Linked DNA regions of Diceros bicornis minor. The protein of the gene in region 4 interacts with the protein of the main gene of each other region in a biochemical or structural test. Links are inferred from orthologs where the notes say so. Each region holds a gene or a part of one and is shown on either strand. Other genes may lie near its edges. The genes, in order: FYB1, HRAS, ENO1 and FYN.

Region 1 (8,014 bases), on a different chromosome or scaffold from region 4:
TCATTAACAAATTGTCAAGAGTAATGACCAATCCAATGAGATTGTGTGTTTTTTGTTTTGCTTTGTTTTGTTTTTTGGTGAGGAAGATTCACCCTGAGCTAGCATCCATGCCACTCGTCCTCTAGATTTTAGTATGTGGCTGTCAGCATAGCATAGCTGCTGACAGAATGGTGTAGGTCCATGCCTGGGAACTGAACCCAGGCTGCTGAAGCAGAGGGCACTAAATTTAACCACTAGGCCACCGGGGCTGGCCCTGAGGGTGTGTATTTTGATGATATCAGTTAAATCTCATTGTCTTGGACACCCAGTGAGATAGAAGTATTATAACTTGAATTCTGCTTCTGAGAAGAATATACAAGGACTGAAGAGGTGGGAAGCCATGGGAAGAGAATAGCAAAAGCCGTAAGAAGAAAATATCAAGACTCAGCAGACTCCTGGAAAGCCTTATGAGTCCCCCAAAACCCAAGAGAGGGTAAGATACAAATTACAGCCAAAATAGCAAAAGAAAGTGATAAATAAATGGCAAGCAGTAGGATATATTGGAGCAAATGAGGAAGCCATTTGGTGTCAAACTAATTTGGCCTGAGCTCGTTTTTCCAAAAGGGCCTGTGGCCTTTGAACTTGCATTGCATATCTGCTTTAAGCAATTAACATGTCCCCAAAACGAGAACAAATGCCCTTAAGATAATGATGCAACTTCTCCCACATTAGCCTTTCCTTAAGGTTAAGCATTTCTCCCTAGGCTAGGATTTGATTGCTGTGCTCAGCCTGTGACCACCCAACTTGAGACAGCAGACCTGCTATCTGCTGTGTCCATCAATCGCTGTGCCAGCAGGGCAATCTCATGACTATCATAAAAGGGATGGTGCAATCATATATGATATATGCTCTTTGATGGTATATAACTGCTCTGTACACTTGGGGAAGGAAGGCTCCAGGTTATATGGTCCTCAAATTTGGCTTATAATAAGCTCACCCCAATTTTGATTTATAGATTGATTATTGATTATTTGCATTGACAAAAATAATAGGTAAATTAATATATAACATAGAATTCTTCTATAAGCTTTGTTCTTTGTCTCTTTGCTCTTCAAGTTAATTGGACTGATAAAAGACTCCTTAAGTGAAGTTTAGATTCTTTCTTCATTGTCCTATTTCAGCAGTTCTTTTAGAGTTTAGTAAACATTTGCCTGGGGTTGGGTTTAAATTGTAAAGACAATTGTTCCTCACCCTTCTTGAGTTTAGATACAATTTACTCATCCCATAGAAATACAGTGTGAACTCTCCTTTTAGTGGAATTTTTTACTGAAGTTGATTAAAGTTACTTCTTCCTGAGCACTGAGGTTCTGAAAGGGTTAAGGCCTCCTTCCATCAAAAATAAAAATTACAAGAGTGAAAAAAAATCTATTTTGTTTTCAAAACAAAAAGTGAAAGAGAAATAAGCCAAATCCAGGAACTGCCCATTTCCTCCCACATGACCTTTTCAAGCATGCCTGTTCTTATCCTGCTTTCTTCCTGCTACTTTCCATTTGGCTGTTCCATATCTATCCAAGCAGGGAGAATAGAATTTCCTTGAATTTCTATGAATCTATTTTGTGAGTTTGAGTTGATCTTGGCTGGCACAGTTCAAATGCATGTTGATAAAAAGAGACAAGTTGACAAAATAATAAAGTTTTAGCTGACCCGTTTCCTAGTCTGGAAACTTCAGGCGTCACTTAATATTTCTGCTTTCATTTCATCATCGCAGAACAGCAATGTGGTGGCCATATCCTAGTGTTTGACAATATTATAGCCAAGAGTTCTCCTACAGCTTCCCATAAATGATGGGCTTCAAGGGAGGCTGTACACTTGCGGAATTTGTATGCAAATCGTATCTGCTTTCATCAGATTTTGAAAGGAACTCATGAGCCAAAAAAAATTTAAAAAAATAAAAGCTGCTTTAGGATCTTAGAGTGACAGAAGAAAATATGAAAATTAATTTGAACTGGAGGAATTTCAAATCTAGTTAAGGAGACAAACCTAATGCAGCCGATACAACGGGAGAACCATAAAAGGCAAGCATATCAAAGAACTTCATTTCAGTTGTTCAGTCTGCAGGAGTCCAGAAAAATGGGGAGATGAGTGAGCAAGCAGCAGAGAAGGCTTCCTGGAAGAGGTGAGACTCAACATCCCCTCTGTTCTCCTATCTCACGGATCTTGTCCTGGCGTGTTAGTATTGGGCACATAAAGTAGCTGATGATTTGCTTCTTCCCTAAAATGTTAACCATTCAGGTTATGAAGCTGAAATTGTGTAAGAGTTTATAAGTATTTCTAACTCTCTATGCTAACAATTTTAACCATGCTCCTTTTAATGCCTGATAGATAAAACACTGACAATGCTTTTAAATAATGATCAGTAAGTAATGTTACTTAACTTTTTATTTGTTCTATCTCCTATCTTCTTGTAAATCAACTTAAAAAAAAAAGGAAGCTGGTTTTTGTAAGCTACTCAGTATCTCTGGGCCTCACAGTCATCACCTAGTTGTCACCTTCAATGAACATCAGAGGGGCAGACTCATTGCCTAAACAAAAGCAGTGTTCTAGAATGCAAATTTATAAAAAGAAAATGCATGCCCAAGTATTTAAAGAATTCTAACCACTTTAGCATTCTCTGAGCTACTTCTCCCACCCACTAGCAGAAATAATTGCAGCGCCCATACCACAAAAATATAACTTTATCTTCTTTAGATGGTATCACTATATTGTCTGTCATCTTTATTGCATTTCCTGTTTCATTATCCTGCTCAAGGACTGATGTACTTAGTTGGCTTCACAGGAAATGTACTCACATATGTGATATTTGAAATATATTTTTTTAAAAGTAAAGTGATTATGCTCCAAAAAATAAAAATAAAAACTTGTTGGTGGATTATGAGTTATGGTTGGAAGCTTCAGTCCTTACTTGTTTTTTCTTAGCCAAAAATACTTCTCTTAAATATATGTTTTTGAGAGACTGCTGAATTTATGTCAATAATAACTAAAAATTACCTTAATCTGCATTTAGAAATAAGCACAAATTGAAACAGAATTCAAATGAATGAATAGAAATTCGAAGTTCTCTTAACCAGAGACTTGTCCAATTGTCTACATTGGTAATAGAAATTGCTAGATTTCTATTTATCATGTAATTTTTGTCCAACTGGACAAAATTTACAGAGAGAAAATCATTGAAAGACCAAGAATAAGTAATTATTATGTAGTGCATGGTGAAAATATGTTGTTAAACTTAGTAGTAATGATGTCAGAGCATCAGGATGATTTGTCCCTGCAAGGCTTGCCTGGTGATCTGTTTACTGTCTCCGTAGTACGAGTCACCTGCTCCTCCTTTTAGAGCCCAAGCTTGCCTGCCCCTTGGAATTACCTGGGAAACTTTGAAATGTACTGACGCCTGGGTCTCACACCTAGAGATTTTGATTTAAAGGTCTGGGATAAAGACTGGGAACTGGGATTTTTAAAAGCTTCCTAGGTGATTTTAATGTGCAGCCAAGCTGAGAACCACCACTCTAGCCCCTAAACTGTACCTGCACTGTGATAATCTCTGCCCCAGCAGATAGTGGATAAGAGGCTTTCTGGCTAAGCTAAAGAATGTCTCCATTCCAAGGACTTCTTCCGGCAAGTGTTTTAAATCTAAAAGCATGTCTGGTTGCCGTACCCGCCTTGCCTTGATCATCCTCCCCCATTCATTCCTTAAGCGTTTACTATGTGCCAGATCCCACGCAATTTCAGATTCCTCATGACCCACCTGGCTCCTGATTGCTCCTCAAGCCCATCCCTCTTTCAAATGCCTACAGGTCTCAAAGAATTATCAGGTTCCTTTCCACCACTGGAACATGCCCCCTGCTCTGTCTTCCTGCCTTGTCCTGGCAATGATTCTACCCATATCTCTAATCACATCTTGATTTTGAAAAACATTTTCATTTTAAAGAATGAATAATAAGGAACATCATTTTTAGTAAAGGATTTTGTATTATTACAGTGGTAATTAGCATCAGCTCGGCATCAAGCGAAGAAATTTGGTGCCCCTCTACTAGGTAAAGGCAGTAGTCCTTACAAGATCTAGAAATTTGCAACCCCAAAATAAGGAATCAGTTGCCTTTCCTTTGCAATAGGAAAGAAAGATGATTTTCTGCCCTTGAAATTACTTTAGTATCAGGCCATATATTCAAAATAAAGGAGATAATTCCGTGTACCAGAATATGTTCAAAGAGGTACTACGGATGATTGGTGTGAAATCTGACTACTGGGGATCAAATACCATGCCCTTAATATCTCCTTCATCAATGTGAGAGACTGAGGCATCTGATGCTAACAAATATTACCAAAAAGTTAATTGACATGTACTTTATATTTTCAATGAAGTGAATGACATCCTATCATAAGCTTATGAATATTGCCACTATTTAAATGTTGATGAGATAGATTTAAATACATTTGGAATTGTTGATTAAAATTATCATGATCCTTCTGTTCATTTTAAGATTATAGTGATGTTTTTAACAAGTACTATGTACTTAAAATAGAAAAGTCAAAAAGTCAGCAAAGTACAAAACAAGAATTATTTGTAATAATATCTCCATCCAAGTCAACCACTGTTAACATTTTAGAATGGGTCCTTCATTCATAGATAGATAGATAGATAGATAGATAGATAGATAGAAGATAGGTCCACAAATACCGATTTTGTAGAAAACAGGTTAATAACGCACATAGAATTTAATATCCAGGCACTTTTTAAAAAATTGTGTTAATCTTGCAGACTTCAAAGCATCACCTGTACCTGTTCTCATATGATTAAAGTGTGATAACTGGATAAACCTGGCCAGGTATACAAATGCTCTGCGGGCTGAGATAATATGCAAATAATCCTTACATATCAATGTGTGAAAGCTGGACAGACCACACAGTTCAAAAAAGGAAGTACGCTCTGCAAAACTAACTTGCACATTCACTGTCCGAGTTACAGCATCTTCGAGGTCGCTGTGTGCCAGGCATATCAACTCTTTTCAAAAAAAATGGTAAGTAATAGATTTTATGACTTTCCCTGGTCTGGCAAACATCTAACCTTCTCTACACGGAGCAGAGAGGGGTGGGGGGTGCTACACTGCCAGGTCCTCCCAGCGTTTGGAATTTTTCTTCTTCCCATTGTTCCATTTGCTAATGAAGCTGCTGAGTCTATCACAGCAGTTGCAAGACTATGGCTTCAGGAGTTCCCTTTTTTGTTCGAAGCCTTCAGAACTGAGGAAGAGCTATGCCTTAGAGAAAGAAAAGTTGTATTCTTTGTCTTTGCCTCTTGAGATAACTGGATGCCAGAACCAGCAGTCAAGTTTCCTGTTCCGAGCACTTTGGATCCCAGAAGAGAACTCCAGTGATATACGTGGGGCAGTATTGCTGATGATGAGAGCCATTTTGACAACACAGTACATTTTACAAAGGAGCTCTTTTGTTTAAAAAATTCATTTCATTATTTTAATTAAGAGAAGCAAACAAAGCCCAAATAGTCCAAACCTTAAGGACGGGTTGTGTTCCCAAAGTTAATTGAAAGTCATTATCTGGAGCACACTTAAAATAGTGACTGGTTTCCCAGTTCCCATAAAAACTAGCTTAACTCATAATGTAGCTGAACTACAGTGTTAATATTCTGCTACACAATTTCATATTCTTTCTCTGTAGAAACTGGCTGTGTTCTTCTACATGCAGTGTTCTTATGCTCCCAGAGTCTAGAAGAGAGCCAACTTTTATCTCCCACACTCCCTCCCCCACTCCCCAGCCCCTAGAAGACTGGAGACGGGTTATCCTTTCTCTCCTTGTAGAGAGGATTACTTCCTTTGCCAGTTCCCAGTGAGAAGATAGCATTGAGACAATGACTCCTACAGGGACTCAGTGGGGGAGGGTGTGTGTTGCAGACAGTGGAATCGAGAGGGCAAAGGATTCATGGGATGTGTTTGTAGTCTGGAAGCTCTTAAACCAGAATGGGGAAAGTGTAGAGGTGAGGATAACCTTGCCATGGGGGAGAGAGGGAGAAGGGGGAGAGATGGGGTCAGAGTTGCAGAGTCACAGGGGAGAGGAATGCACAGTGGTGGAGGAAATTGTAGCACATGACCCTTCCTGTAGCCACATCTGTAAGAGGAAGGCAGCCATCTGTTAAGGTGGGACTTACAAGTCCCTCTAGTGTCTCCAAACTGGGTCTTTAGGTCCAGAATTCTTAGCAAACAGCTTGACCTTAATTACTGATATCATCTTCAAAAGTAAACAAGGGCACTGTGGTTTACAAAGAGTTATTTGGATTTTCTTAAGGAAAATGAGATGATCATAGCAGAAAAAAAAAGTTTAACTGAATAGGGTATGTTTGGTAATACGTAAGCAATGTTTTCTTAAGAGCTCGTCATCTTGTTATAAAACTAGCACATATTATTAAAGAAAATTTCTTAAAAATATAGATATGCAGAAACAAAACAATACACATTTTCTATAGTTCCATCACCTAGGGGGCAATCATTGTTAATACAGATCCTTCTAGAATTTCATCATTTTTAAGTATATTTTATAAATATAATTTTCTATAAGTGCTATCATACTTTATAAACCATTTCCTTATCTGATTTTTTATGTAAAACATTTTGAATAATATATGAGTTAGATATCATTTCTAATGATAAGTCATTCTTAATGACTATGTAGTTTTTCCATAATTTAATTTAATCAGTTCCATATAGTTAGACATTTAGGTTTCATATTTTATTTTTCTTTCTGTATGGTACTACGACAAGACTGTCACAAGCGTTCTTTTATATACAGTGCCTGATTATTTTCCATTGACAGAACTACTAGGAGAAGAGCTAAGTGAAAAATACATCTATTTAAGATTTTAAACACAGATATCCTCTTGTTAAACAATATATTTCAAGTTTACTTACTATATAGTGGCATGGTAAGTGAATTTCCCAGTTGCAATTATGTATATACATGCTTATCTTTGTAGCATGTCCAAGTTATACTTAAAGAGGAAGCAGATTTCCCTTAATTTTTCTCTCCCCAGCATTGCTTCTGACATTTCTATGACAGGTTGTGAAAGGCATGTAGCATATTAAGAAAGGTGTTTTCTCCTTGAAAGGCTTCATAGCACAGTCAAAAGGCCATGTGCCTGGCTCCTTAGGCTTTGCTTACCAGTTGTATGTTTTTTTCACAAGTCCCTTAAGCTCTGAGTTTGTTTCCTTATCCAATAGTGGTGACATGATGATGATGCTGATAGTTACTGTGGAACAGTGTCGTTGTAGAGGGTAAATAAGATTGCAATTATAAAGTACCTACTATAGTGCAGGCACCAACCGGATACTGGATAAATATTGGTGTCCGTCGTTCTAGTCCTCAAAAAATAATTTCCTAAGGAGGCATAGAGACTTCCAGTGAACACAGGAGGAGAATGATAATGGCAGTTAACATTTGTGAGCCCTGACATACACTGTCTCGTTTAGTCCCCATAACAACCCTTACGAATCGTGACTGCTCTTATTCCTATTTTCTCGCTGAGTACACTGAGTCTTGGAAACGGTTAAGTCACTTGCTCACAGTCACACAACTATTAAATATTGGGACTGGAATTTGAGCACAACTCTGTCTGATCTCAGAGCCTGAACTTTTCTACCTTATGCTGCATCTGAGAAAAAGTAGGTACAGAGGAAGACAACAGCGTAGTCCAAGAAAAGCCCAGGCCTGGCTTTTAGGAGTACGAGGGGCCTTTCCTCAGGCTGGTGCCCGTCCCTGTTGGATTTGGGAATCAGCTGCGTAGCTGCTTCTGCTACTGCCACTATGAATTGTCCTATTTTTAGAATGCTCACTTTATTGAAATCTTCTAGAAGCCACTGGGATGGGAGGCTGGAGGAGTTCCTGGCTTTGAAGTTCTCTACCCCAGGGTTCAGAAAGAGGGACTAAATGATCAAATGGCTCCCCCCTCCCCCAAGCTCACCTGCTGTGTTAC
Region 2 (7,079 bases), on a different chromosome or scaffold from region 4:
TGACCGTGTGGGAGAGGCAGGGAGCTGACCCCCAAAAGCAGGGTGACAGCCGAGAGCATCTCCCAACCACGCACCCAAATTAGAAGCTGCTGGGTAGGCAGAAAGCCTGAGTGGAGGCGCCCGCGGTTGAGGTTACCAGTCCCCCTCCCTACTAGAACAGGTCTTGTCACCGTGGAGCGCACAGCAGCGTGCCCAGGCAGGCCAGTGCCAGCCAACACCGGGCTCCAGGCCCCACTGGGCATGCTGGTGCATTCGACAAGTATTCACTGGGCACCTACTGCATGCCAGGTGCTGTTCCAGGCACGAGGTGACAGGCAGACAGAAGGAACCCCTGCCCTCCTGGGCTCAACCTCCATCCCAAGGAGGAGGAGACCCACACACGTTAAAATGAAGGAGACCCCAGGGGCATTCTATGGCCATAAAAACTTTGGAGAAAATAAGGTAGCTAAAGAGGCCAGGTGGGGGCCAGCGTTCCCATAAGCAGAAGCTGACCAACAGGAAAGACCCACAGCAGGTGTGGGAGCCGGGGGACAGGTGAGGAAGAAGAAAGGCCTGGGACCCAGGCCCCCAGCTGGGGTGTCCTCAGTTTGTGATGTTTAACGAGAGGGTGCCCTTGAGGGGACAGTGGGCAGTGACTTCCTAAACCCAGACTCGCCTAGTGTGCGTGATGGCCACCGGGTAAAGAGGTGTTCCGAAGGGTCCTGGGGCCTCTGGCGGGCGGGAGACCCGGCGTAGCGCCCTGGCCCTAGGCCGGCCTCAGCTCAGGGCCCCCACACATCCCGAGGGCCCCATGGAGGACAGGGCCGGGGACACGGCGCCCAGGAGCTGATCTGGGCCAGGCAGGGGGAACCCGCCGCCGGCACGCCCAGCACCCCCGCCGCCGCCGCCGCCGCGGCCCACCTGCGCCCCCGCGCGCCCGGTCAGGACAGCGGGCTCCCCACCCCGCCCGGCCCCGCCTGGCCCCCCGCCCCAACTCCAGCGCCCAGCGCCGCAGCCCCGCAGCCCCCGCCGCACTCACCGCTCACGGGCGCGACTGCCCCCGGAGCCGGGGCTCGCCGCTCGCCCGGCGCATGGGGTCACGCCGCGGCGGGTGCGGCGCGGGCTGCGGGCGGCGGTCGCGGGCGGAGGACTCTCGGTTGGGCCCGCGCACGCCCCGCCCCGCGCCCGTCCGTCAGCCCGGCGCAGCCTGCCATTGGCCGCGCGCGGCGGTCTCCGCCCAAAATTCGCCCCGCCCTGCCGCGCTCTGCTCCGGTTGGCCGAGCGGCCCGCCCGTCAAGGGCCGCGGCCGGGCGGGGCTTCCGGGAGCGGCGCTGAGGGCGGTGCCCGGCCGGGTGGCCCTCGTGGGCCGCGGCCTTGGGGGATAGCTCGGTCGGCGCCGGAGGCGAGTGAGGGGCCTGGGGTTGCAAGCCGGGGGTGACCGCTTCTCCGGGGATGGCCTGGACTTTCCTGGGAGCAGGCCGGACTCGCGGGGAGATAGAGACCCCACGCAGAAGCGGGTCTGCGGCCAGGTGTGGACTTGGGCGGGGTCGCCGGGGTCAGCCTCGAGCCCCTGCGCTGCTCCGGGAGCCCCGCGCCGGGCTCCTCGGCACCTCGCTGACGCGCAGGCGCTCCCGCGCCCCCCGAGGCCTGCCCCGCGCCGCGCCCTGCCGCCCACCCACGGGGGCCCGGAGCGGGAGGGACAGGCTGGGTGGACCCCACAGGCCTAGCACCGCGCACGCCCCCGGGCTTGAGGTGGAGGAAGGCAGGGGGCCTCAGGGACGAGGGTCTGGTGCCAGAAGCAGGCCCGAACCGCGCTGGAATTCTGGGACCCCCAGTGGCTGGGGACCTGGCTGCCCTGCATCCCCTTCCCCGCAGGTGGCTCCGAGACGGACGCCATCTCCCCCAGGGCGCCTGGCAGCCTCGGGGGGGGTCCTTCGTTGCGGCCCAGCCGTGCGCCCAGGGCCCGGCGGTGCGGGGGCGCCGCGTCTGAGTGGGTGCGTCTGAGCCCGTGGATCAGCGAGTCTGACTCCATCTTTTTACCCCGTGCCCGCGTCTTGCTTCTCACATACCCAGCGCGCAGCCCCGCCCAGGCTCCGAGGAGAGCCTTTTTCCAGCACCCCCTCACCACAAGCCTCCCCCGACTTGGGCAGGCCCAGCAGACTACCGGCCCACCCAGCTCCCCCCCAAACCCGGGGGTTCCAACCCTGCAGAAGCTCACCGTCTGGCCCAGTTAACAAACGGTACCCAGCAAAGCCAATCCAAAAGTTGCCATGGGGGGTGACCTGGAGTCTCCCCCCACCCCAAGCACAAACATGCACGTCCTGTCTCCTTTCAAGACTCTCGAAAAGATATGTTCTTGACATTTTAAAAAATTCCAAAGTAACGCATAAACACACCCTCCTTGTTTACAAGAAAGAATGGTGCATTACACAGAAGGCTGAACCTCCCTGTCCTCGGCCAGCACCCCCTCCCATCACCATCCTCTCCCCCGCCGGCTCGGTGCTGTCCCCTGGAGCTCACCCCACTGCTGACCGTGACCTTGGCGGGCCCCTTGTGGGCCGCCCTCGCTCCCACGACGGCGCCGACCCCACGGGCCGTGGCTGTGTCCTGTTGGCCGTCCCGCGCCCTGCACCGCGGCTACAACAGAGCCCGGCTCGCGCGTAGACACGCGCGTAGACACGAAGTAAAGGCGGATAAATGAAAACGGGTGATGGCGTTCCTTGCGGGTGCGGACACTCAGGACTCCTCTCCAGGTGTCCAGCTTCGCACTTCCCTCGTCCGCAGAGGATCCTCTCCTACGGCGCTTCCTCTTGTCGTGGCATCGGCTACACTTGCAGGCGGAGGTAAATCGCGCAGGGCCTGGGCCTCCGGGAAGACCCTCACACCGGCGCAGGAGGGCGAGGGCCTCCGGGAAGACCCTCACACGGGCGCCTCCCACCTGCGAAAGGCGGGCGCGCGTCTCCACCCCAGACCACTTTTGCAGGGGGCTGACACCTGGCCTGTCTGCGCCCCCCGGCTTGATGGCGTCTCACCTCCGCCCCAGCTTCCCTCCCAGCTGGCCGGGCGCCCACGCGCGTGCGGGGCCGCACCCGCCGGAGTCCCCAACCCTGCGCCGCTGCCCCGCCCCCGCCGGCCTGCCCTAGCAACCGTTGCTAAGAGGCGTGGCTCGGCCCCACGGGGCCTGCGAGATTCCCGCGGTGTATGAATATTTGATTATTCAAATAAAGCCCCGCCCCCGTTGTCATGGCGCCAGGCCCCGCAACCCCGCGGCCGGAAGAACACCCGGAGTCGGAGAGCGCCCGCCAGCGGCGGAGGGCGCCCAGGGCTGGGCACCGGGGCCGACCCCTCAGGTGAGAGCCCAGGGCATCTTGGGGCTCGGGCTGCAGGACTCGCTATCTCCCCCGTGCAGGAGGAGAAACTGAGGCCGAGGGGCGGGAGCGGGGATGAAGCAGCAAAGCCAGTGGGGACTCAGTGAGGCCCCCAGATGTCAAATCTCGTCCCCCGGGGACTCTGCCCACGCTCCCCGGCCGGGCTCTTCGGGGCTCCCAGTTACCAGGACAGGAAGGGCCCCAAGCCCTGCCTCTGGGGGAGAGAGGAGCAGGGTTCCAGACTCTGCTCTGGGGGTTCCTTGGTGAGGACCTAGGAGGGGAGCAGGCCCTCCCCACCGTGGTGAAGGGATGGAGGGGTGGAGGGGACCCAGAGAGTCCATGAGCGGGGCCAGAGGCTGTGGAGACAGAGAGGCCCCCAGGTTTCCATGCTGGGGGGCTTGGGGGACTCATGGAGGGGCAGGGCAGGGTGGGAGCAGAGCCATGAACAGAGTGGACAGGTTCCGCCCAGTGCATGAACGTGCAGGGACGGTGTCTAGATGGGAGCCACAGCCTCCAACCCAGGCCCTGTTCCTGGGACACCAAGACCTTCAGGCTTGAGTGGGCCGGTACATGGGTGAACCTCTGTCAGCTGCTCTCTGGGGGCACAGAGGGAAGAGGGCAGCAGACTCGGCCCTTATACTGCCCAGGGGTGTCCCAGGGCCGCACCCTGGCTGGCCCACACCCTCCCCATAGCCTGAGGCTGGCAGCGTGGGGTGGGCAGCATCTTCCCAGGGGGCAGGGCGATGGGGTCCTCCTGCGAGGCTTGGGGCCCTTCACCAACTGGAGAAAGGCAGGCAGCAGAGGGAACTTTTGGAAAGAAATCCTGCTGGAAACTCTAAGAGGCTCTACACTGGGAGCCACCTCACGGCCTTCACCCCATTGGATCTTCAGTGTATGGGTCACTCTCCGGACAAGGCCACTGAGGCACACGGAGCCTGGGCAGCTTGTCCCAGGGCCCAGCACCCTCTCCCACCGCCTCTGTCAAAACCCAGCTGACCACTCCCCTGGCCGTGGGGGGTGGGGTCTCTAGACATGATGGAGAGGATGAACCTTGAATGTCCACAGGGGGCTGAGAGATGAAAGTGGTGGCCAGAAGGTGCACCTGCCGCCTTCACGGATTCCTCCAGAGTATTTCAGAGCCTTTCATCTGCCCACTGTGGACACGGCAAGGGAGCATCCTGTCCACAAGCCCACATTGTCCCGGGGCGAGGCACTCACTCAACTGAATGAGTCGTAAAACACGAGGGTTGTAGAAGGGGTCAATCTTAGCAGGAAAGAAAATCCGGGAAGGGCGGGAGAGTGCAGAAGTGGGGTCAGTAAGGCCTCCACCCAGGATGGAGGGAGGTGGCCAGGACGTGCCGGGCAGACTTCTGGCTCTACCCCCAGCGATGACTCCAGGATCAGGGGCCAGGCACAGGCGTCTGCATCTTTAAGGAGCTACGCCAGGTGAGCCTGGTGCAGGTGGTCCGGGGACACACTGGACAACCTTCTCTGGGGCCTAGGGTCAGGGGACTCAGTAGGGACAGAGTGCCAAGGAGGCCGGCCTGTGGGAGACAGTCCAGAGCAGCAGACCCGGGATCACTTTTGGAGAGAGGGTGGAGTCGGGGATGGAAGGAAGGGGGGATTTGAATGAGGACCATTTGCAATGGAGAGACCCTGAGGGACCCCAGCATTGTTCACTCACCTGGCTGTCGTCCTGGTCAGCCGGGCCAGATCCCCCATCAGGATGGTGGAAAGGACCTGAGCCCCTACCACCTTCACACTTGCTCACTTCTGGGCCCTGTGACCTCAGCCCAGCCTGTCCCAGGTCCCCTGGGTACGGTGACCTGGCCAGGAGGCCAACCTGACTCTCTCCTGCAGGTGCCACCTGGGGCCACATGCCGCCCCCTTGCCCAGATGTTTGACCCACGGTGGGAAAAGGCAGCCCCCTCCAGGTGAGGGGGCTCAATGGGCACAAGGCTGGGGTGGGGGGCATGCCTGAGACCCTGGTCCTGGGCCCCCAGGCTCGGAGACCATCAGGTGGAGAAGGACGCACAGCACAGGGCCTGAGGCAGCTGCTTGCTGCTGGTGGCAGCAGGCCTCTGCGCAAACATGACCTGCAGCCAGCACCCCCAGGCTCACAGCCTACGTGGGGCCTCAGCTGGGGAGGCCTGGAGCCAGCACTCCTCGCATGGACCCTGAAGGATGGGCAGAAACACCGGGGGATGACTCGCCCAGGCAGAGGGTGTGCCAAAGCTCAGGGAGGGGACTGCAAGGCCCCCAGGCCAGCTGAGACTAAGTGGGTGAGGGCACCACCAGAGCCTTCTCCGGGCCCTGGGGGTGGGCTCTGGCAGCTTGCCATGGGTTGGGACGTGTCGAGGGCTCTGCGGGGGTCAGAAAGAGCAAAGGCTGAGCGGCCTTACCCTCTGCCTATCCTGGCAGGTCGAATGTGCATGGACCCGGCCTGGGACAGAGCCCGTGGGCCTCGGCCAAGCACAGCCAGTGTCCACGTGCAGGAGTTGAGCTGGCAGGGCCTGCACAACCCCTGCCCGCAGAGCAAGGCCCCGGGCAGCCATGGGGGTGGCCACAGCGAGCAGCTGGTGGAAGAGTGTCTGGCACCTGCCCGACTGGTGAGTGCTGGGGGCTGGGGGCTCAGACTGCAGGGCCCGTGTGGGGTGATGTTCTGGGACTGGCGTCCAGCCTGCCCTCTGTCCCCTGCCCTCCTAGCCTTGCCTGGCTGACAGATGCTCTCAGCCCTGCTGTGTCCCCTGCGCCTGCTCCACCTTCAAGGCCAATCCCAGGGGCTTGGCTACACAGACGTCTCCCAGGCATTCAGGCCACAGAAGGGACTGAGCCAGGCAGGAATTCCACAAGTGTTTGCTGAGCACCCACTGTGCGCTGGGCTCCGGGGACCCCTCGGTGCACCACTCCATGAACCAGAGAAGACGCCCCTCGTTCGAGCAGCTGAGGTTCTGGTGGGAGACGGGGTGGAAACCATCGAGGTGCACGGCACATGGAGGTGCAAAGGGCCGGGAATTGATGAAACCACGAGCAGAGTAGGGGAGCCCAGGCATGAGGGGCAAGCTGTTCAGGTGGGGGCCGTCCTGGGGTCCCACTGACAGTATCTGGGGCAGCTGGTGAAGGCTTTCTCCCAAATCTGGAGTGGGGGTTCGTTGTCACCCCCCACCCCCACCCTGAGGCCCAGCAGGTTCTGCAGAGCCCCCTTGACTACACTTCCCACCCTGTGACCCCACTGGGCAACCCTGCCCCTCCCAGCGTGGGAGGCCTTTCCCTTCCTGGCCACGCCCCTCGCCCGCCATTGGCCACCCTGAGGGGGCAGACCCCACCGGGTGCAGGCACCCCCCAGGCCCTCCCTCCGTGCCCCTCCAGTGCACCCAGGCTTGCACCAGGTGAGATGCACACAAAGAGGGGTCCCTTGGAGACCACGGGGTGACATGCCCACCAACACCCCCAACCGCCTTCCTGAGCACTTTGGAGAAGAGTCCGAGCCACCTGGTCCCTGCAGGTGGATGGAACACTCCCGCCAGGCCCCTCCCTATGCCCCTGCTGGCCCCTCTGTGTGTGGGGCCATCCAGCCACTCCTGCAGCACCTGCACCTTCCCAGTGCCCTGGTCCAGTGTGGAGCTGTCACATCAGGATGGGTCTGCCCACCAGCTCCTCGACAGCCCCGGCCACCAGCCCAGGGGACAGAGACAGGCACACAGCCATGGGCCACCTCCAGGCCAGCCAGCT
Region 3 (7,550 bases), on a different chromosome or scaffold from region 4:
ACAGCCAGGTAGAAATAAGAGCCTCTGGAACGTCCCAACACCCAAAGGTAAGAACTATCCCAGATCCCTGGTTTAAGAGTGATTCCTGGAAACAAAGATAAGAGTGCTATAATTACACTCGCACTTGCTTATCTCTTTCCTTTTCAAGAGAGAAAGATCCATCCTATCACACCATATCAGCTTAACTGGTCACAGCAAGCTGTGAAGCAAACCAGTGATGGGCCCTTTTAGGGACAAGGTATCGCCTTACTCCCCTACCTCACTGACCTAGGAGCCAACCTGGCTTGTTTTAAATACCAAGAAGCAGCAAGATAAGGACTCCCATGCCCTACAGCACCCCCACACTCCCCCAGCCAGGAAGCACAACCTACCAGCATGTGCCGATCAGAAAGAAAGGCTTTTACAGTAAGACTTTTCTTTGCCTAAGGCCGTCATTTTTAAAAAGTTTTAAAAAAATGGCATGTGGTGGAAGGAACTATAGTAACAAAGGTGGCACATACCTTTTGAGGTACAGAGATCAACCTCAACAGTGGGATTCCCACGAGAGTCGAAGATCTCTCTGGCATGGATCTTGAGGATAGACATGGCGAATTTCTGTGGGGAAACACAGATCATATTTTCCACAAACCATAATGCAGCCTCAGCTCATTCATTCAAGGCATCACTTCTGAGAACTCCTAGACTTGAAAGAATCTGCATTGGACTAAATACTGGATGTAGGAAGGCTAACTAGAGTGGGAGAGGGCCTGCTGGAAAGCAGGAGGAATTGCTCCTAAAAAAGTAGGTTGGGCCCAGCTCTACAAGGCCTTAATCCCCAGCAGTTCAGGTCTCGTCCTATAAGCAAAGCCTGAACATATATGACTGTACTGGGGAGCAATCAAATACAACGGGAAAGATTAACGTGTTGATGGCATACAGAATGGCTGAAGAGGAGGCAGTCTGAAAACCGGTTATTGTCATTAGTTAACAATGAGGGTTGGCATGGCAATGGAAAAAGACCAAGGGGACATGAAGGTCCCAGGCAAACCCATCTAAGATAAAAAAGGTGGGGTGGGGAGGGAACCAGGAGGAAAATTTGGTTTGTAGTGAAATAGTGAATTAAAAGATGGGGACATAATTCATCAAGTTAAACTTGAGGTAGCAGTAGGATGTTCAACTGGTAGATATTAGATAATTAGAAATTTTCAGTTTGGAGGCCAGGAGTGAGCTCCTTGGTCTGTGCACTGTGATCTTTGCCACTGCCAATTTCCAGGGCTTTCCAACCGCACAGTACTTGAGTCTTTAGCAAGACAGGACACGTTAATAATGACATCTAATTAGTATTTCTTTCAAAGGGCATTTTACTCCATTAAAAAACTCAACTATGAAATGTCATGATTTGTAACTAGAGGAAAGATTCTATTTTTGAAAATACTCCAAGGAAAGAAGCTTCCTTTGAAAACATCTCAAAAAAAAAAAAAAAAAAAAAAAAAAAGGTTTGCAGCTACAAAGTGCAAACAGCAAATTCTCAAAGAAAGGCCTTTTCCTTCCTTCTCCCACCGGCTCTCCAAGGAAGAAATGAATTGAACAACGTGTAGGACTGAAGTGGATGAGAGGAATTGAATTAGTGTTCAGAAGCCATTATCTAACTGGGCTCCCCCCCAATATCTTCTCTGGAATGTTCTGAAGCAGAAAATGGCATCATTTTTTTTTCTTTTTAAGTTTCAAAATTAGATGCTGAAGTCACTTTTGTGGCTTTATTTTCTATGTAACAATGGAGTTTTATTCATTAGCCAATAAAAAAATATCTAGTTTTTATCTACTATCTTACAAAAAGGCAAATTCAGTCAAACGTGTTTTTTAATTTTAGTTACCTTTGAGTTTTGGCAAATTATATACCTGTGTAACACATTTGTCACCCCAAGAAGTCCCCTCAGCCAGTTTCCAGTCAACCTCCCCCGCCCCAAACCAACTGTACTTGATGGATTTCAGATGCGCTTTAAAGCGCATCTTGATTACACTACCTCAGCATACAGCTATAGGAACTCATCTTTTATCTCATTTTAGTGACATAAGACAAAGTAATTAACTTATTTCATGATGTGAAAATAAAATCCAACTGATCTTTATATTGGATAGAAAAACTATTCTCCGAAGTCATTAAGGGTCAGGGAGAGGCTGGTCTGACCACACGGCTTCACCGCTTTTTGTGTGTCTGGACGGAACCCCGGACCACGAGCAGCATGAGTGGACCGGGCGGCCCGGGCCTAGGTGTGCCCTGGAGGCAAGTCAACCGACGGGCCACACAGCCCAGACCACGCTGCAGAGAGAGAGGTGAACAGGAAGTTTCCTCAAAGTACACCTTTTTTAGGTCAGATCAGGGGCCGACTGCTGGCGGCCAGCCAGGGGCGCCGGGAGCAGCTCGTGCCCGACCAGGGCGAGGTCGCCTGGACCGCTTCCCAGCGATCCCCTGGCTCAGCTGCAGCCACTCAAGAGTAAGCATCTTCTGGAGTTGTAGCCACTGCCCATGTCGGAGCAGCAGCTTCCTGGGCATCTCTCCTTTCCCTGCCCCTGCCTCGACTTTAGGGAGGGCCTGGCTTGCATGAGCACCGGGGTCAGGCCTGGACTGCTCCCCAGAACCTTCCCCTCTCCACGCCTGCTCTCTTAAGTGGCCTGCGCCTTCTGGTCCTGACCTCCCAGCACAGTTACGCGGCCCTGCAACTCCGTAGTCACTTGTTGAGCAGCACCCTCCCCTCCGGGAAAAGCAGGCGCCGCGCCCCGCCTCGGGCCGGGGTGCGCGACTCCGGCCGGGGACTCGGCTCGCACGCGCCGGCCCGCCCCTTCCACGTCCCCGCCGAAGCTCCGGGCACGCCGTCCGGGGAGCAGGAACCCCCAGAGGACCCCGCGCCGCCTGCCTGGGTGCGGGCTCGGCAGCCCTTCCCCGAGCACTCACCTAGCCGCCGGATGTCGCGCCCGGGAAGAAGCAGAGAGTGCTGCAGACACCGAGAGAAGCGTTAAGCCAAAAGGCCTGCGCGCTCCCAGTCCCCTGAGCTCGTCTCCGCGCCGCCCCTCCCGACTTCCTGCCCAGCTCGGGAGACCCCGCCCACTTCCCGCCCCCTGCGCGACGCCTCGCCATTGGCTCCCCGCGCCGTCACTCAGGGCCTCGCCTATGGCCGTCACGGCGGCGGGGACGGGGGGACGATGACCTGGGGGGATGGGGCGGGGCTGGGGGGCACCTACTGCACCGCGGCTGTGTGGGGGTGCGGGCGAGCCCCCTCCCCGCGGGGACTCCCTGGCCAAGCAGCGTCTGCGGCGCCGGGGCCCGGGGGCGGGGCGGGCTGGCCCGGCCGGCATGAGGGCTCGGGGCTTCGTCACGTACTCCGAGTCTTGCACGCACACAGCGTCGCTCCGCCGGCGCACGCCCGGCCCACGACCTTGGTGACGACCTTCGCGGCCCGCCCTGCCGGCCCTTCGCCCCCCTGCCCCGCAGCGTGGTGCCGGAGACCCCGTCGGCCTAGAGACGTTGGCGGCCGCGCGCCGCGACCCCGCTCCCGGGCCGCAGAGCCGCGTGCTGGGGGCCACGTGCGCCTTCCCGCGCCTGCGCGCTGCGCCCCGCCGCGCCCCCGGCCGCCCGCCGAGGTGACCCCGACCCTTTGTCCTTGTGCGCCGGTCAGACATGAGAGCCAGGTGGCTGAGAGGCAGTTCACTTTCCTTTAGTTACAGCTAATACTTTTTGAGCGCGGCCTGCGTGCCAGGCACATCTCCACGTGCGCCCCAGAGTTAATTCATTCAATAGCTCTTGTTAATGTTGCTTTTTGCAAGGAGGCTTAATATCCCTCGCTTTGCCCCCGGGGTAGATCAGATGTGCCTGGATGCATGTGAACCATCGTGTATAATGATTTGGACAGGAATTTCACACAGACCCGGGAGATTTCTCAAAGTTCAAACCAGATAATATTCCATGGTAGTCTGGCAAATGAAAACCAGGAAGGGGCGGCTGCAGTGATTTACCTTTCTGTTCAGGAGTTGATACTCATTTAAAATCAGTCCTGCAGCACATCCCCCGATCGCTTCCATTTCTATGACAGTTATATTTCTCAGCATTCGTCTTGGTCTGTAAGTCTGAGAGCTAAAACAGTGTCAGACATTGTTTTACATCTCCATATTTTCCACATTGCCTTGCATAGAGAGATTCAAATGTGTATTTGAATTTAATTCCTATTTCTTCTGGCTAGCTGCAAAAACTGTTTTTCTTCCTTCCCTCCTGGCATTTTTATCTCCCCACCTACTGGCTTAGGTTTCCAAGGCCTTGGGTAAAGGTGATGGTCTGTTGAGCCCACGGTATTTGTTCTCCGTTGACTAAGAAGCAGGAACTTTAGGATTAAATTCAGCAAAAAAGCAATAAGGAAATTGTAAAATATTTCACTGAAGAATTAGATGAATTTTGCAAGCAGAGTTGATGATTTCACCAGCAAGATGCTAATGTTTCAGACTGCTTAAAACCAAGATCCCAGCCCCATGACTCAGCAGCTAAACCAACAGCCAACATTTCCTAAACCTTAAGAACTTTACAGAAATCAGACACTTAGAGCTCTTATTTTCAGAGCAATTCTAAGGCGTGGCCCTGAAAGGGCTCCAAAACAATCTCTTTTATTTTACATTAAAAGGGTTAGAGAGATAAAGATAGAAAGACACGACTCTTCTAACTGCTCTCTGGCCAGAACCAGTGAATCGAGCAGGAAATCAGATGCAGAACATGATCTCAGACAGCTGCTGTCGCAAGATTCTGGGAGGCCACAGCACAGTGTTCTGCGCACTTTGACCTCAAATTGTAGCTCAAATGTTAATGATTGGTAGAGATGCCCTCAGGTCTTTCCCCAAATCCACAGGCTGCCAAATGCTTTTCCTGTCTCCACAGCTCCTGAGGCTTTGTTAACAGGTGTGGGGCTCACATTTGCCTGCACTCCAGTGCAGGGGCATTTACCTTGTTACAGCTGTTTTGTTATTATTTGTCACTCACAGTACAATTGTTGAGCAATTTCACCGCAGTGGCATACCAAAGGCACTTGCCTTGCTGGTGGGCAGGAAGAGGAAGTGAGTGTCCAAGGCTACTATCAGAAGACCACCTGGGGAAGCACTGCAGGTAGCGCCTGCAACACATTTGCAGGTGGGCACCAGGGTTGAGGGAAGGAGAATCTGCAGCATCCTCTGACCCGCCTGGGTTACAGATTCTGTCTGTGGGATGTGCACCCCTGGTTGAAAACTGCTGGTCGACTGAAAAAGTGACATGCCTCTTTGGAAGGTGGGTCTCTAGCCAGATAGGAAACTTCAGGGTTGAATAAGTGGCCCAAGGGAGGAAAGAGATCCTCTGAGAGCCGAAGGCCCTCAGGGGATGCAGGTGGATGGCCCCTCCTTGTGATCGTGAGGTTTGTGTTTGTCTGTCATCATTTCACATATGCCAAAGACTACATAAAGTGTATCTGGTGTAAAGAATAATAAATGAACGTCCGTGTACCCACCACCAGCTTAAGAAATGGGACACTGGCAATGCCAGTAAGGTCCCTTGTGTATTCTTAGGCCACAGAGGTGATCACTACCCTAAATTTTGTGTTTATTATTCCCTTGCTTTTCTTTATGGTTTTTAAATACAAATTTTGAACTTTGTATAAATGGCATCATGTTGTTTGTAGCCTTTTGCTAGAATTCTTTTTTTTGCTCAACTTGACATTTGTGAGCTCCATCCCTCTAGCTGTGGATGGTTGGTTTTCAGTGCTATATAGTATTCCATTGTGTGAATATCACACGTTTTCCTGTCAGTATACATTTGGATTGTTTCCTGGTTCTTTTTTTCTTGTTACCAACAATGCTGCTATGAACTTTGTTGCAAATGTCTTCTGAGCACAGGCAAGAGTTTCTCTAAGGCATATACCTAAATCATACACCTAGATGTGGAATTTCTAGGTCATGGGTATAAACATCTTCAACTTTGTTTTCTTTTTTTTTTTTTAATTTTTTAATTTTTTATTTTTTCCCCCGAAGCCCCAGTAGATAGTTGTATGTCACAGCTGCACATGCTTCCAGTTGCCGCATGTGGGACGCGGCCCCAGCATGGCCGGAGAAGCAGTGCATCGGTGCGCGCCCAGGATCTGAACCCGGGCCGCCAGCAGCGGAGCCCGCGCACCTAACCGCTAAGCCACGGGGCCGGCCCTCAACTTTGTTTTCTAAAGTATCTGTACCTCTATGCGCTTCCCCCAGCAGCCTATATGAGTTCTGACCCAGCTTTAAAAAGAATCAAATTCAGGGCTGGCCCCGTGGCTTAGCGGTTAAGTGCGCGTGCTCTGCTGCTGGCGGCCCGGGTTCGGATCCCGGTTGTGCACCGAGACACTGCTTCTCCGGCCATGCTGAGGCCGTGTCCCACATACAGCAACTAGAAGGATGTGCAGCTATGACATACAACTATCTACTGGGGCTTTGGGGGAGAAAAATTAATTAATTAAAAAAAAAATCAAATTCAGCTCTTCCCTTGCATTTTTTTCTAGAAATTTGATGGCTTCTCAATTTACCACCAAGTCCTTCACTTAAAGAAACCCACGTGTCCTCTCTGTAAACTGCAGTCAGCATTGTGCCTTTATGATGGCTTTGAGGGCACCTCTTAGGGCCTCCCACTGTCAACAGCCCCCTCCCCGCCATCTTCAAAGCTGACCTCACAAAGTCAGGAAGTAGGGATTGGGCAAGGCACACGTTTGGGAAGACAGAAGGGAGGCAGCACAGTATGGTTTTTAAACAAAGTCATTGCTAGAAGGGCATGTATCAGGGGTGCCCAAATGGGAGGAGTAAGTAGTAGGGGGATTAAAGAAAAAAAAAACCCAAGGAAGTCAGGGAAGCAAGGAGCAGGCACCCAGCGAGCAGAGATCTCCTTGGAGGAGCTAATGAATGAGGGAGCCAAGTGGAGACTGAGTGGGGCTCTGAACCAACAGGAGAAAATCAGAGGAAAGAGTCTGTATCTTGTGTCAAAGAGCTCTGCGTGGATCCTCTTGTGCCTGAGCTCATTTATCTTTGAAATGGGTGCAATAATACCAACCCCAGGAGGCAGTCTTGAGCTGTAACACCCCAGGTGGCTCCTATCATCAGTTTGGGAGTCATTACTGAATGCTAGAATGGAGGCCTGGAAGGCACTGATGTCTCTAAAATAGCAGGGGCAGTAGGTCCCCAGAGCAGTTTTCTTTTCATCTCTGTCTGTTCCCACCCATTCTGTCTCACAGTTCTTATGGTTGTCATTTGAAGAGGACCAGGGCGGCTGCAGCCGTGGGCCCAAGAAACCCTGATCTGCAGCCAAGAGAGGGCTCCCCCTGCCTGTCCGCTAGGCCGGCAGCACTGCTAGAGCAGGAGTGCAGGACCCTGCGATGGCCCCACTGCAAAATGCGGGTCACTGGAAGGAAGGAGCCGTCAGATGACACAGTGCGTGAGCTCCAGATGGAAAAGCAAGAGCCAAGTTCTCCTTTCAGAAGGCACTGGCCCCTTGTGATTCACTGAGAGTAGGGTTTTTGCAGAGGCTTTGCGTGGACCACAGT
Region 4 (7,183 bases):
AAACTCATTGAGGGCAATGACTGTGCCTCGTTGAGTGGCAGCATAAGGCAAAGCTGCTGGCCAAAAATACATTTCTTCTTGACCTTTTTTCTGGTCACATGGCTAAACTATATTTCCCAGGCTCCCTTGCAGTTAAATGTGGCCATATAACTAGCCCTCATGTAAAGGATGTAAGTGGAAGTGACAGGTGTCATTTCCAGGCCAAGGCATTTAAAAAGTGGGTGCACCCCTCCACTCCCTCTTTTGTCCTTCTGCCAGCTGAAAGCTGGTTAAAATGGAGTGCTATGGGATGGTGGAGCATGGGGCCCAGAATCACTGCATGGAGGAAGGCCACCCACTGACCAGAAATACCCATTCTGGACTATTACATGAGGAATAATAAACCTCTTTTGCTTTTGAGCCATTAGATTTTTGCAGGCCTATTTGTTACAGCTTCTAACATTAGCCTCATTAATCTAGGAGCCTAGCACATACCAAGGACCTAAGTCACATTTGTGAAAACAAGATAAATAAGCCCAGGTTCCTTCTCTCAACGTGCTGACCAACTAATGATGGAAACAGACACAAGCCAAACAAGGCCTGCTGCTGAAGTTGGAAAACAAAGTCAGAGGCATGGTAATTTGTTTGGAGGGGAAAGGGTGGAGAAAGCATCACAGAGAAGACTTTTGAGCTGGGCCCTAAAGGTTAAATAGGACCCAAGCAAATCAGACGGGGTTGGAGATTCCAGACCCAGAGAAAGCATAGGGTAAAGGTACAGAAAGCAGAGTGTGCATTTGTTCACATTCAACCTTATCATTATGTCTCTTTAACTTGGTCAACATGAGTTTATCGTGCACTGACTTTCCTATCTTGGGTCTGGCATCAAACAAACAACCCTTTGTTTTTACAGTACACTCATCAACCCTATCGCTTTTTTTAATATAAAATGTTCCATGATGAATGTCCTTAGAAAGTGCAAAAGTAAACGTTTAATGAATCATAACAACTCTTTTCTAATAAAATTCTTGAAGAACAAACTTGAGACGGTTCTATTACTACTTATCGTAGTCAAGGAGCCACGCTCTTAAGAATCAATGACTTCAACCTTTGTCCTAAGTTTTGACATTATCGATTAAACATGTAATAGTCACTGGCTTGCAAAATGGAACATTAGGCCCCAGAATTACATTAACATTTCCTCTTTAAGAGGAACATCAAGCAGATGGTTTAAGAGTTCAGTCAAAAGATCGTGTATATCGTTTGCTCACAGCTAAGTGCCCCTAAAACCTGAGATGGCTAACAAATCACTTCCTCCAAAAATCTATGAGTCTCTTTAACTGAAAGCAGAGTACCCATGGGGCAGGGACTGGGGAAAAATGCACAAAGGGTGGAAAATATTGCAGTCACTTGAGCGGTGAGAGGAAAGGATGTGGGTGTCTGAAGCCTACCCTGAAGCAGGGAAGAGAAACCGTCTCCAGTGGTCTTCCAAATACCAATTTAATGATGTATTATCAATGCACCCAGGAACTTGTTTAAATATAAGGGCAAAACAACATCACTGGGCTGACAATTCATTTCAAAAGACTTGAGCAGTCCTTAGACTTGAGAGAAGCGAGTCAGGCTGCCTCACTCCTATCAAACACCAATTTAATTCGCTGATTCAGAAACAAAATTCTTCTGCTCCCACACCAATGTACCCTACCTCAGCTCTTAGTATCTATCCCTGAAAGGAGAGGGGGTTAAAACTGGGCGGAGTGGAGACTACCTTGAAAGTAAAGCAACTCTTATGACAGCTAGAATCATTTCCCCCTTAAATCTAAGGAACACTGCAGCTACCAGTCAACACTACCAGTCCATGAATACAGCAAAATGCCAGCACCTGCCACCCCGCATCTGGGGCCTTTTATTTTTTGGTAAATGTGGCAGGAAAGATTCTGAGAGAGAAGATCAACTGCTATATCTGAGAGAAAGGGAAAACGCAGGGAAGAGAAACAAGAAGCACAGCGCCCATCCTTGGGTACTTTGTGTGTCTCCTCTCTATGCACTGAAAGGGCTCTTTGTGTCACACACACACACACACACACACACACACACACGGCGAGTCTGTGTGATTTATGGGGGGAGGGGCAAGAAGGGTGATTTTATTATCCCTCTTCTCACTGAGTCCCAGCAAATCTCCGCCTGGGCCCAAGCTCGGTGGCTTCTTTCTGGCCCAGTCCCCTCCGCCTGTGGCCGCAGAGATAAGAGAGGGGAGGCGACCAAACAAAAACAGTCATCGATCTAGGGAAGTAGAGAGGAAATCCAGCGAGCAGGGAAGGGAGGAGAAAGGAGCCTGAGGGAGCAGAAGGGGTGGGGGGCAGAGGAAGAGGAGCGAAGGCTCCTGCACGGGGGACAGGGGAAGGGTGGGTGGGTGGAGGCACAGGAAGAGTGAAGGGGAGGATGGGGGAAGTGCAAGGGAGGTGCCAGAAATAGGCAGGAGGATGCAATGGGGAAGGCGACGGCCGCAGAAGGAGGCCGAGAGGTGGAGGAGTGGGGCAGGGGTGGGGTGCGGTGGGGAGGGAAGCAGCACGGGGCATCAATTATTAAGTGATTACATCATCCCTGACATTAAAACAACACACACAGCCCGGGTCCCCGCGGGGGGCCCCGAAAGGAGGGCGGGGGCGGAGTCTGGGGCAGCCTCGCCCCCAAGCCAATTCCCATTCTCATCCCGCGCCCGCTCGCGGCCGAGGAAATGGGTCCCCATCCCTGCGCTACCTCCGGGCCGCACCGCGCAGAGGTGTCCTCCAGCCCGGCCGCGGGAAGACTCCGAGCGCGGCCAACTCCCCGGCAGCCCCGCGGGGCGCCCTGGAGGCGGCGGCGGCCCAGAGACTGCAGCGCGGGGCCCCGCGGCGGGGGCGGCGGCCCGCGTCTCCGCAGCATCCCCGAGGCCTCCCGCGACGCATCCCCGGCCGCTTACCTGCACGGCGCTCAGGCTCCGGAGCCCATTCACATGGTCCTCTCCCCGCCCTGCTCCGGCGCGGCTGAGGCGGCTCCAGTGGCTCCTCGGCGGGCCCGGGAGCCGGTGGGCCTTCCGAGAGCGCCGAAGGGGCGGCGCCGGGTGTCCCCGGCCCGGCGGCCGGATCCCTCCCTGGCGCGGGCGGCGGCCGCCGGGCGGTGCAGCGCGGGCGGCGGCTTTGTGTGCGCCCGAGGAGCCCTCCGTGCGCGCGGTGAAGCGCCGCGCGCCGGGACGGCAGAGGACGCGGAGCTCCGAGGTAGCCTCGCCTCTGCTCCCGCGGCCAGCCGGCGGGCGGGTCTCAACGGCCTCCGGCTCGCGGCGACCCCTCCTCCTCTCCCGCGGCAGCCCCCTCCCCGCCGGCTCCGCTCCTGACAGATGGCGCAACTGCAACGACACGCCGCCGCCGCCGCGGCTGCTCGCAGCTACTCGCGCTGATGCTCCAGCCCCTCCAGCCCGGCGGAGAGTGAGGAGGGGGCGGGACGCACCCTGAGAGTGGCAGGCCCCGCTGCCCTATCAACGGGCCCCTCGGGAGCTGTGGGCGGTGACCATTGGTGTCTGGGACGGGGGCGGGGCTGCAATGGGTGGGGCCACCGAGTGGGCTGAGCGTTGCTGTAGCAGCGGGCATCCTGGCCCGCGTGCCCGTGTAGGGTGTGAGAGGGGATGCGAGGTTGGAGGAGTTGTGTGTGTGTTTTTGAGGATTGTATGGACTTGTGAGGTAGTGGGTTCGGGCGAGGGAAGGAGGAGAGAATATGAGCTGCAGTTTCTGCTTTGCAGAAGGTTGCAGCTGCCACTGCAGAAAGGCATCTGCCATTCTCCCCAAACCATGGGAACCTGCCTCGAGAAAGGGCTCTCTTGCCTTTCTGGTGTCTGACAGTGGGAGGAGAAATAGGGAAAGTGTTAGGGTGGTGAAAACGTTTTCTCTGATAAACTGAAGATTGCGGAGCAAGGTAGAATGCCATCTCAGAAACCTGGGAAAGTTAAGAGAACCCTGGAAACGCACGATTAATATTATTAATAATAATAAGGAGGAGGAGGAGGAAGAGAAAAAGCAGAGGAGGGAGAAGAGGAGAAAATTAGGATTAGTTTACTAGTCTCCTATTTTTGTGGACACACACACACATATATAATTATTTTCAAGCAAAAGTCTGGAGCAAGTGTTACTGAAATGGGAGGAAGAAGTTGGAGAGGACAGGCGGCCACTAAGGAATCTGCAATCATAGAACAGAGATTTGTTTGTATAGTTTTTTCCAAAATCATGTTTAATTGTAGCCATTGGTTGTCATTGGTTTCTCATGACACTCAGCCTTCTCATGTTTCTTCCTTTCACTGAATCTGAGCTTTTGCTCAGATTTTCCTTAGTGAAATAATAGCCAGTTTAGTATACAGTTGGGAGTGCATCAGTCTTTATTTCCTATCCAGCTTTTCTATGGCAGGATGTAACTTCATAAAAAGAAACACTTTGGCTTCCTGATTTTCTTTATAGGTAATTCCTGTTTACTGAAAGTTCTGCTTTAAGGCATGCTCAGATTAGTTCTCCTTAATGATTTTGGCACGAACCCTACCCTCCTCCCCCAGCAAGCCTAATGTTCTGAGAAATATAAGCAAGTTGGCTTCTGCTTCTATGCTCAAAATCTATATTACTTTTCCTGCCAACTAATTGTTTTAACTGTAGTTTAAAAATATCAGTCACTTTTGCTGACTTTTTTATTTTTGCACACAGTACTTTTTTTTTAATTGCTAACATTCATTAAACGATGCTCATTTTTATGGATGAGGAAACTGAGGACAAGAGAAGTTAGTAACTAAAACTCAATGTGATAGTATAGGGTAGTTACTGTGGCTTTTTTCCTCCTTAAGCAAAATGATAAATGAACATAGTCCCAAGAAATAGAACCACAACTAGGACTAGAAGATTTCCATAGAAGAGAATGTCAACTTCATCTAGTCAAGAATTGTTTATCTCAAGCGAAGGGGGTCGTCTTCTTCAGTACTAGCCTGCCATGGCTGTCCTAAGTTTATTTGAATTGAGATGGAAAGGCTCTTGTCTAGAGCAATGATTCTCAGACTTTAGCATGTATCGGAATTACCAGAAGGAACTTGTAAAACACTGATTGGTGGCCCCCAGCCCCAGAGTGTCTAATTCATTAGGTTTGGGATGGGGCCCAAGAATTTGCACTTCTAACAGTTCCCAGGTGATGCTGAAGCGGCTGGTCTGGGTACCACCAAAACCTTGAGAACCACTGGTTTGGAACCAGGCTGTCCAGTGTAGTAGCCACTAGTCACACATGGCTATTAAGTACTTGAAATGTAGTTGAGTATTTGAAATGTGGCTAGTGCAAATTGAGATTGGCTGTAAATGCAAAAGATTTATTGGATTTCAAAGATTTACCATGAAAAAAAGAAATGTAAAACATCTCATTAACTTTTATGTTGATTACATGTTAAGATGATAACAGTCAATGTATTGTGATAACTAAAATATATTATTAAAGTTAATCACCTATTTCTTTTAATTTTTAATGTAGCTAGAGAATTTAAAATAGCATATGTGGCTCACATTATATTTCTATTGGATAACACTGGTCTAGAGTTGTTTCTGATTCCAGCTCCACAGTGCACACTGTTGAGAGCACCTTGATGCAGCAAATCTCTTACCCTTTCTGGACTTTACTGTTCTCACACATAAAATGGAGATATAGTAAAACTGATCTCACACTACTTGTGTGAAGACTAAATGGACATGGAAGCAATTTATGCATGCCTTCCTCCTTTTTAAAGATAAACTGTCATGTACTCTCAGAAAAACCGCTCTTAAGATATAGACCTCCTCGGAATTCCGTGTTAGACGGAATTTATCTTACATGATATCTGGAGTAGGTTAGGTAAGGCACCTCACTGCTTATGGTTTCTTCAAGAGGAGTCACTTTTTAGCGTCTGTAACTCTAATAGCTTCTTGATCTAATTAGTGGGCAAAAAGAAGAGACAATGCAATTAAAATGACAGATTAACCTGCTCCCATCAAGACTTCATCCTGTTTTTGTAATTCTTTCCTTGCTTACCTTTTTATCTGTTGCCCTTCTTAAATGTAGCTTTAAATGGATTTGGCCTCCTCGGGAGGATTTGCTAATGGTCTGAACAAGTGTACAGAGTACTGTGAAAGATTTGGACACTCTTCCCCATTTTGATCTGCTATGCAGGTCTGTACAGAGACCTTGATTAAAGATCCAGGACACTGTCCCTGGACTCCTTGAGATAAGTCATATTGTCCTCTACATCCCCCCAATTTTGTTTTATTTTCTTATGGACAGGTTAAATGTACAAATTAGAAGGTAGGCATTGTTCTAGAATTTCTCTTTGATTTGACTAGTAATGGTTATTTTTATTTTTCTATTTCTTTCACCTTAAATTTTCCTATTTCCATCTGGGCTTTCTTTATTTTGTCTCAACTGAATTTCTTATTCTCTTGCTTTTAATGTAACATTTTCCTTGTTTGTATGAGTTAAAATATTTTCTTGCCTTATTATTACATTTTAGTTTTAATCTTCTCTTAAATGTCAATTCAATAACACCACATATGGCAAGGGTAAGAATCCTTAACATAGAGTTCTTAAAAATCAACAAGAAAATAAAGATGAAGACTCCAGTTGAAAAACACGTGTAAAGGAAATACATCCCCACATGACCAGTAAATGTGAAAAGAGATTCAGCTTCACTTGTAACAAAATTAATGTAAAGATATAGTTTTTCCAACTACCTAGTTGGCCAAAGACATAAAAGGATGTAGGGAAATGGATACCCACATTCTACTAGTGGGAGTGTTAATTAGTGTAACCCTTCTGGAAGACAATTTAATAACATTTATGAAAAGCCTTAAAGTATATACCTTTGACCCAGCAATTCTACTTCTGGGAAAGAATGGAAGAAGTTTGCAAAGATATACCTATGATGCAAGTAATTGGAACATTGTTTATAACATGAAAAATTGAGGAAAGTCCATTAATAAGGGATTTGGTGGATGGGAGCAGAAGGCCTTCAACCCTCCCAGCCCTGGCCAGGAGCCTCTCTGGATACCACCTCTGCGGCAAGTCTTCTTCAAAAGGGAAGAAAAACGGCAGAGAAGAGGAAGAGGAAGAGAAAAGGGAAAATTAAAGCAGCAAAGGAAGGAAAAAGCTTAAAGAGTTTTATTGTTTCTTCTGGAAAGATTTT

The links.
Region 1: the proteins of FYN (region 4) and FYB1 form a complex in vitro, tested with the Homo sapiens proteins (2 studies listed by BioGRID and IntAct). The link is inferred for Diceros bicornis minor from reciprocal best matches to the Homo sapiens genes FYN and FYB1.
Region 2: the proteins of FYN (region 4) and HRAS form a complex in vitro, tested with the Homo sapiens proteins (2 studies listed by BioGRID and IntAct). The link is inferred for Diceros bicornis minor from reciprocal best matches to the Homo sapiens genes FYN and HRAS.
Region 3: of the proteins of FYN (region 4) and ENO1, one has a biochemical effect on the other in vitro, tested with the Homo sapiens proteins (2 studies listed by BioGRID). The link is inferred for Diceros bicornis minor from reciprocal best matches to the Homo sapiens genes FYN and ENO1.

Annotation. Positions count from the first base shown.
Region 1 is NC_080759.1:30,291,628-30,299,641, forward strand, and holds the start of FYB1 (FYN-binding protein 1), read left to right. Parts: upstream 1-4,997; 5' UTR 4,998-5,051; coding exon 5,052-5,054; intron 5,055-8,014. UniProt on the Homo sapiens protein: Acts as an adapter protein of the FYN and LCP2 signaling cascades in T-cells. May play a role in linking T-cell signaling to remodeling of the actin cytoskeleton. Modulates the expression of IL2. Involved in platelet activation.
Region 2 is NC_080770.1:1,447,770-1,454,848, reverse strand, and holds the start of HRAS (GTPase HRas), read right to left. Parts: upstream 3,019-7,079; 5' UTR 2,500-3,018; intron 1,088-2,499; exon of another isoform or gene 1,019-1,087; intron 1-1,018. Other genes in the region: LRRC56 (leucine-rich repeat-containing protein 56), read left to right, coding at 5,774-5,956. UniProt on the Homo sapiens protein: Involved in the activation of Ras protein signal transduction. Ras proteins bind GDP/GTP and possess intrinsic GTPase activity.
Region 3 is NC_080752.1:28,557,639-28,565,188, forward strand, and holds the start of ENO1 (alpha-enolase), read right to left. Parts: upstream 3,013-7,550; 5' UTR 2,933-3,012; intron 595-2,932; 5' UTR 586-594; coding exon 501-585; intron 1-500. UniProt on the Homo sapiens protein: Glycolytic enzyme the catalyzes the conversion of 2-phosphoglycerate to phosphoenolpyruvate. In addition to glycolysis, involved in various processes such as growth control, hypoxia tolerance and allergic responses.
Region 4 is NC_080762.1:23,592,147-23,599,329, reverse strand, and holds the start of FYN (tyrosine-protein kinase Fyn), read right to left. Parts: upstream 3,012-7,183; 5' UTR 2,939-3,011; intron 1-2,938. UniProt on the Homo sapiens protein: Non-receptor tyrosine-protein kinase that plays a role in many biological processes including regulation of cell growth and survival, cell adhesion, integrin-mediated signaling, cytoskeletal remodeling, cell motility, immune response and axon guidance.